Bombyx mori: one gene and its partner. The protein of the gene in region 2 purifies or fractionates together with the protein of the main gene of each other region. This does not show direct contact. Links are inferred from orthologs where the notes say so. Each region holds a gene or a part of one and is shown on either strand. Other genes may lie near its edges.

Evidence for each region. Proteins that work in one complex are often made in the same cells at the same time.
Region 1: the proteins of histone deacetylase 11 (region 2) and STIP purify together in Homo sapiens (co-immunoprecipitation; 3 studies listed by BioGRID and IntAct, counting the BioPlex papers as one, with this or other methods). This does not show direct contact. The link is inferred for Bombyx mori from reciprocal best matches to the Homo sapiens genes HDAC11 and TFIP11.

The regions. Positions count from the first base shown.
Region 1 is NC_085113.1:9,626,040-9,630,092, forward strand, and holds the start of STIP (septin and tuftelin interacting protein), read left to right. Parts: upstream 1-1,213; 5' UTR 1,214-1,265; coding exon 1,266-1,371; intron 1,372-2,230; coding exon 2,231-2,374; intron 2,375-2,906; coding exon 2,907-3,124; intron 3,125-3,545; coding exon 3,546-3,665; intron 3,666-4,053. UniProt on the Homo sapiens protein: Involved in pre-mRNA splicing, specifically in spliceosome disassembly during late-stage splicing events. Intron turnover seems to proceed through reactions in two lariat-intron associated complexes termed Intron Large (IL) and Intron Small (IS).
Region 2 is NC_085120.1:9,518,333-9,522,541, forward strand, and holds the start of histone deacetylase 11, read right to left. Parts: upstream 2,854-4,209; 5' UTR 2,703-2,853; coding exon 2,695-2,702; intron 2,606-2,694; coding exon 2,482-2,605; exon of another isoform or gene 2,379-2,481; coding exon of another isoform or gene 2,370-2,378; intron 1,840-2,369; coding exon 1,729-1,839; intron 1,557-1,728; coding exon 1,465-1,556; intron 1,153-1,464; coding exon 948-1,152; intron 419-947; coding exon 252-418; intron 1-251. Other genes in the region: dynein regulatory complex subunit 4, read left to right, coding at 3,206-3,256, 4,150-4,209. UniProt on the Homo sapiens protein: Responsible for the deacetylation of lysine residues on the N-terminal part of the core histones (H2A, H2B, H3 and H4).

The DNA of each region.
Region 1 (4,053 bases), on a different chromosome or scaffold from region 2:
AAAATAAGTAAAATTGGCAAAGGCACAAAATTATTCTAAATAAATGGGACTGTGAAGCACAATTGTAATTTGTAACGTTTTATACCTGAATTGGAAATTTAGGAAATAAATTATTGTCAACAGTGGTAACATTGTTTTATTTAAGGCCCTAATCATACAGTGTATTTTGAAGGCGCAGACGATGCGCGCTTTAGAACGCGCGTTTTCGGCGCCGCGCCGTAGATGCTGTTTGTTGCGTTTGCACTAATAGTACAAACGTACGTATGAAGCTCGTTTACGCGCCTTTGACACAATACAAATGCACGTTCAAAAGGGAGTAGGAGGAGCCAATCCAATTCCATTTCCAGATTCGCCTATTTTTTCTTAAAAGTATTACCAAATACAACGTAGGCAATGTCTCAACCGACTCCATTGTTCAACTGGATTCAGGGAATCTCTGATTAACACACGGAAGCTACGAGCGACTATAGCACGTTTATATGGTTGCGCGTATTTGTGCAGTGGAAGCGCGTTTCACAATGGCCCCGTGTGCTTAGGTTACAAGGTTGCGTTCGAATCTCGAAGTGCGTATACGCGAGTCATCTGCGCGTCCTCTGCTCATAAAAAATACGCTGTGTGCTTAAGCTCTAAGAGTTGGAATAATAAAGTACCAGACCGCAATTTACCTGCTTTCGCTTGGATTTGGTCGCCTTGTTAGCATTAGTTGTTGATGTTTGACTACTGATGGGGTGGTTTGAGTTGAACCAACCAGTAATTCTACCCGACTTGTGTATCTTTCAAAATGTAGTGTATCTGTTCTTAGGTTATATATAATCTTACTCTATGGTCTGTTCAAAATATATCATTGATTTGCGGTAGAAATAGCCAAGATGATCGGTTTAAAGGATCCTATGTCATCTGTAATTAAAAATTTTTGAAGATTTTCGGGATTAATTGATCTTTCTTTTTGTTGTGACTCCTCTTAAAAGTCACCTGTGAACTTATAGTTGGTGTTTAAACAAAAAGAAATAAGCTTAAAAAAATTCAGTACGATAAAATCGACTAAGCTATGAAAATTAACCACAGTTCTAATTCAACATCTCTAAAAATGCTAAGCTAATCATTAGTGTCAAGACTGTCAAGTGTCACCATAAAGTTGTTTATAACCAAACAAAATAATTAACAATATTTATAACCAGCAAATCAGTCAGTTACGATTTTTATTTGTAACAGCGTAATTAATGATGAGTTATTTTGGTTAAGCTTAATTTATACGTAACAGTAAAATGTCAGACGATGAGGTTATAAAGTTTGAGATCACAGACTACGATTTGGATAATGAATTCAACCCCGGCCGTGGAAGAAAAGCTAACAAGGAACAACAAATATACGGTAAGTTACGTTTAAATACAAACAATCTAATTAAAACTCCAGAATATTCTAGGTGGTGCCACTACATTCAAAACATTGTTGTGTGATAGCTATGATAATTATAAAAATTCTAAAGTTTATAAAATGAGTTATTATAAGTTTCGTATTTTATAAAGCATCAAATGGTAGAGCTTCAACGTACCAAATTTTTTTCAATTCCGTAAATAATTCCCATTAGATTTGTATGTAATTTCAAGAAACATGCTCTGTCCGCCCATGATAATAAACAAAATATACCATGATCATTATAGTTTATTATAATAAACTAGTAAATTACTGTTTTATCATGAATGTGTGCATGAGTTTGAATAAAAATTTGATATTGTGCATGAAAAAATTTAACTAATTTAAGAAACAAGTAGGCAGCTGTTTTGATCTCTCACTTGAAAGAAGATAGCATTATAAAATATTCTAAGCAGATCACTTATGATATAGTTTCTAGTTTTTGTTTGATAAGCACTTCCATAATTAAGTCTCACATCTAAAACATACTTAAAACAGTAAACATTCTTATTTTAAAACCATCAAAGCGTAGCTAAAATAGCCCCTTAGGATACCAGCGATCAGGGAGGGAAAATGTGTTAGTTGTTTATAAGTATGAAATCTAATAACGTGTTCAATTAACCATTTAAACTCATATGTTCCAATGTCTAAATGTTTCTGGGATTATGACGACTGAGAGTTCATTTACACCACAAATATCTTATTGACTTGATTAAAATTAGAAAAAAAATTAATTAAAAATCTATGAAGCTTTCATGCATTGTTTTAAATGAGAATAGCTAATTGTAACAAAAGCAATAATATAATTAACTTATAGGTGTATGGGCCAAAGACAGTGATGATGATGAAAATGAAGATAATGTTAGACAGAGAATACGTAAACCTAAAGATTTTTCTGCACCAATTGGTTTCGTGGCGGGTGGAGTTCAACAGGCTGGCAAAAAAAAAGACAAGACTAAAGGTAACAAATACATATTCACTTAATTTTTCAATTTGAAAACTTAATAAAGTCATTTAAAGTGATTTAAGTATGGTATTTTATCAGTCTTCATGAACCGTAGACATAAATAAAATCACTTTTATAACCAAGTTATCAGTGACCACACTGTAACTATACAAAAAATATGAGACAACATTTTTATTCCAGTTGTACAATACTGACTACCCTCCACGTTGTTTCCTGAGCGCTATGACATGTCCTTCTTCAAACAAGGCTTCTGGAGAGTACTTAACAGTAGGCAGCGGTTTTGTCCTGCCCTTGGCATTGCTGAAATCTATGGGTGATGGTAACCACTCACCATCAGGTGGGCCGTATGCTCATTAGCCCACAGGGGCAATAAAAAAAATGCCAAAAAGGTACCTTCCGACTTGACTTGGCTGTTCCATTGCTTCATGATTGAAGCATAAACTGAAGGCTCCACCATTCTTTAATGTTATGTGATTTTCAATACTAAAAAAATGCATGTCGTGGAATCAGTTCATGTCAACAAAAGTAATTTTTAATAATTTGACAGAAATAAAACCAGCTGAAGCGTCTACTTCTGCTCCTAAGTACTCAGACAGTTCTGATGAGGAACCAGAGGTTCCAGTAGCGAGTGACACGGCGGGAATCAGGAGACAGGGACAGGGAATGCGTCCACCATCATTAGGTGGAAATGTGGGAAATTGGGAAAAACATACTAAAGGAATCGGAGCAAAATTGTTGTTGCAGGTAATTAATTAGCTATTGCTCTTTGATCCTGAATGAATGAGCTATAAGCCACTGCAACGTTAAAGTTCATTCGTATTGTTTGACAAGTCCGTTGAGTATTCGTTAAAACGCATAAGCGGTATACGATTTTTTGCAGTACAAACGACATTCGAATGGTTCTATATACAACGTATGTGCCGCTATTCATTCGTTAAGACGTATACTGCAAATAAACGTGCAGAACAATGCCGTAAACCCAGCCTAAGGGGCTATTTCAACTACGCCCAGCAGGAAGCGGCCGATAATTTATATAATTAGTTCTTAGCCCTCATTTGCATCTAGCCTTCTCACTCTTACGAATTTTTATAATTCATTAATTTAATAAACGTTCCACATTTTTGGAAATACGTGAGTTTTGATTAATATAATTTCTTTCTTACAGATGGGATACCAACCGGGTAAAGGTTTGGGTAAAGATTTGCAAGGTATCTCAGCGCCGGTCGAGGCTACGCTGCGCAAAGGCAGAGGTGCGATCGGAGCTTACGGACCAGAAAAGGCAACGGTGAGTTTCACAATGCACGTCATTAGAGTTTAATGAATACAAAAAAAATGTATTTGCAGTTGTACGGATCGCAACTTAAAACTTGCAATTTTTTTTCCTACCTATGCTGATAGGCTTGAGAGGCTATTTCAGCTTCACCCTAACGTGTAGATGAGCTCACGGGGCTCAAACCGGAGTGTTGCTAACACTGGGCCTAGCAAGAGCAGTGCCAGTGCTTCGCAGAATCTACCACCGGATCGGAAACGCGATCCACTGAGAGCATCCGTTGACTGCCCCGTAGTCTATATTAGGGCGGTGCCAAAATTATTAATCACTGGTATTTAGCATATAGAAGAAAAAAAACCCATTAACGGTGCTTTTAGGTACCACAAGCACCGGTCACCGTCCT
Region 2 (4,209 bases):
CTCAAGCTGGGTGACGCATTTACGTCGTAGATGTCTATGGGCTCCAGTAACCACTTAACACCAGGTGGGCTGTGAGCTCGTCCACACATGTATGCAATAGAAAAAAATCTCAATCGATTGCTAGATTACGGAACGGAAAGTGAGACGAGTAATCTTATATCCCGCAATAACAGACGCTGTTTAATTCGTGCCGAATAACAAATCCAACGCAGGCGGTACCGCGGGGCACGTCTAGTTCATCAACAACTCACAATCGCAATTTCAGCATATATTCCATGTCCTCAACCAGATTCCCGAGTTCCACTTTCCTTCGTATCGCCTTCTTCGCTTCTTTGTCTTTCGGGAAAATATTTCTATTGTACATATCCATTATGTATACTTCGGGAACACCCAGGAAATCCTTTTCGTAACCATTTCCCTGAAATACAACATTAATATTGCACCCCGGGAGACAGAAGAAGATCCTACGTCCGGAACCTTTGTGTGGATATAAATGAGGCAGCCCAATTTTTTAATCGTTTTATTACCTATATCAACAAACCGAAGGTTCACGTCATTACGGATCCTCCCGATCCATTAACGGTGCTTTTAGGTACCTCAATCATCGAATCATCGACGAAGGCCTCTACGAGGAAATTAGCCCATAGACATAGTCCGGACACTCTCCATCACAGTGGTTGTGTGTGCAGATCCATGTGCTTAGTGCAAGTTTATTAACGTTCTCGATTGCGTAAAAGTTAACTCAAATTTGTATGGAGTTGGGGCAGCGCCCCTAGCGGCAAACGTAGGCAAACTTGTATAAATGAAAGCTTATCTTGAAAATGTCGTAATAGACAAGATTCAGGCATCTGTCAAATATCTTTGTATTGTATAATGGCTACCCACCACAGATGTATTCATTTTAATCTTGCAGTCTCTATATTGAGAAAAAATATCAATAATCTTACCTGATGAGCATCCAAATCGACAATCATAGCAGTCTCTATTAAGTTATTCATCATGAGGAACCGTATCAGCAGCGTTATGTCAGCATACGGACAGAAACCTTCGCCTTTTTGAGCACTGCAGTGGTGGAAGCCACCACCCACATTGATAGCCCACCCACGCTCCAATGCCAGCTTACCACAAAGAACTGAACCACCTGTTTGTAACCTTTAATCAAATTGGAAATATACTACCATTACTTTAAATACCACTATACTATATGCACTAAGCATACTGTGAAACCACCATGTCGAATGTTATGTGTTGAATAATAAATAAAACATATTTTAATTCATTTTATAGGATAGCTATTTGTAAATCATTATACACAATTACATTTTAAAATATAAAATTTGGAAAGTGTAATCACAGATCATGCTTTCTACTCTTTTTGAATTTATATACAATGTTAAAACTTATTAAGGCACTGTATATCAACCAATATTATTACTACCACATTTTACATAACTATTTATTTACCTCATCGGCTTTAAATAAGCGTATTGAACCAGGAAATTTGGTAATAAAGATACAAGTGGTACTTCTGCGATTATAGCCACTCTTGCGCTCCACTGGAATTAAAAAAATTATTTAGATATTATTTTCCAAATTTTTGAAATCACAATTTCACACATAAAACATGGAATTGACAGGAAATGTGTTTGCAGTTTAGCAAACAACAGCTTTATTAATTAATTAGAATCCGGCTTCATTTAAGCAAAAAAAAGGTAATGCTTTACTTACATTCAAAGATTTGAGATACCGCTTTGTATGGACAACAAGCAAATCACTCTTCTGGGCTTCTTTTGGCTTCACTAGGCGTTCATCCGTTATAAGTTGTGCATTCCTTAAATACTAGACAAAGAGGTGAGACATAACATTATTCGTTATTCAGTTTTCAATATTTCTTTAATTGTCTTTAATTGTAATTTAATTGGATCATTCACAAAGATAGCAGATTATTAATTCAGTTGTTAATTATATTTAGCTTATTTTTTTTATCATCACTATTTTGTTTATGTAAATGATCTCAACTTTCTTTCAAACTTTATAATAAATACCCACAGATTTCCAACTGCCATGTTTAATTCAAAGCAATTTAGATACTGTTCATATTGTTTTAAAATTGTAATTTCTAATAAATGTTTATAAATACGCATTTTCTGATGCCTCCCTGCATTGTTCCTCACTACATCATCGTGCATATTTCTGCCTGAATTCATTCATTAAACTTAGATAGCTAGAATTAAATAGAAATTTTAACTTTCTAGTCTCTAGTCTTTTTTCATAAAATCTCAAATAGCACTGATTTTTTTGTTGTTGTTGACCATTCTGGAATTTAAATAATCAATAAGCTAGCTATCAGCTAATGGCCAGTTACCTACCATGTTCATGTCCTTCACACATCCTAGATTACCCTGCCCATGCTTATCGTTATCTGTAAGAGATTGCTAAACTCAATAATACCGTTTTAGTGAGCTATAACTTATACTCTACCTGAACAATATTCCGCCACTTTTTAGCGTCAAATACATGAAACTTCTCGAGACCAAAAACCGAAACATTGTATTTGTCATCATATACTATTGGCCATTGCTCTTGGCTTATATCGAAGTACAGACTAAAAAAAAACAATGTTGGTTTATATTCTTTTCAGAAAGTCACGATTCATTAAAATAAAAAACTATATTGAGCACATAAATGTTAAACCTTGTCATTTTCTCTAATTTGATTTTATTGATTGATGAAAATTTTTAATTTACTATAGACTTATGTTCACTTAAATTTCTGGAATTTTCATTTCGCGGAAAAACGCAATTTCGCGAATTTCCCATTTTTGCGAAAACATCAATATTGAATTGACGTTTAGACAAACATGTTTCGTCCAAAAACATTAAGATGGTATCTTGTATTCGTAAATAAGACAAAATTGACTACCTAGTTTTGATCTCTAATAGTTGTAATTTTTTTATTTTCGACTATTTTTACTTTTCAACGACCTACCGAAAAGAATAATGACAAGTAAAAATGTAATTGGTAGTCACAATTCCGAAAATATTTCTGAACATAATATCAGTTGCTAGGCAACGGTATATCAGCACTAAGCGGGAAAATGTAAACAAACTAAACGAAAGTGACATTAAGTTAGAACATAGATGCATATTTTAAATTGATTTTTAGGTAATAATATAATATGACTATTCAGGAATATAATTGAATTATGGATAATACAGAAATAAGTGCTCTCCAAACAGAAGTGGAGTTCTATAGGGTAGGTACCGTATTTACATTCTATTTATATTTTTCCAATTCCAGCAGCATTTTTTAGTAATGTAGCAGTAGTTCGGCGAAGAGGCCACCACGCTGGCCAAAAGCGACACCACAATGGAGGTAAATGATACCGCTTTAAGGTTTCAACCTCATGGGAATTTCGGATATAATGTGTTTTTTTTCTACCTATGCTCTCGGTGCTCAAACCGGAGGTGTTTGTTAACACTGGCCCTAGCAAGAGCAGTGCTTCGCAGAATCTACCGCCGGATCGAAAACGCGACCCACTGAGAAAATCCGGATATCCTGCAGTTTAATTGGTGGTGTTAGTAGACGTTAGTAGTATACTCATCCTATATACTTACTTATGTGTTACAAGTATTCCAATAACTGGTTCATTCATGTGAGGAAGTAATCAAAACGCTTCCCCCAATCACTGATTTACAAAGAAACATTCATGTTAATTTGGAGTTCATGCTAGATGCGTGTCAGAGATCTTTTTGTCACGTACCAACCGGCTTTGGAATGATCTCCCCTCCACGGTGTTTCCCGAGCGCTATGACATGCCCTTCTTCAAACGAGGCTTGTGGAGAGTACTCAACAGTAGGCAGCAGCTTGGCTCTGCCCCTGGCATTGCTGAAGTCCATGGGTGACGGCAACCACTCATCAACGGGTAGGCCGTATGCTCGTCTGCCTACAAAGGCTATAAAAAAAATGGATGAAATAAACTGTTGCCGATTATAATTCTCATGACGTTTATTACAGTAACTGCATTCAAAAATGTTGTCCTCTAGCACTAGTTACAGAAGACAAGGAGGCTTCGATTCTCGTCTCCAAAGAACAGCAAATAAAGTCTTAATTGCTAGTAAAATTGACCTTTTGACCTTTCGATTCCAGAACAACCAAACAATCGTCGAACAAGAGATCAAAATGCTGATCGCTGACAATCAAAAGCTT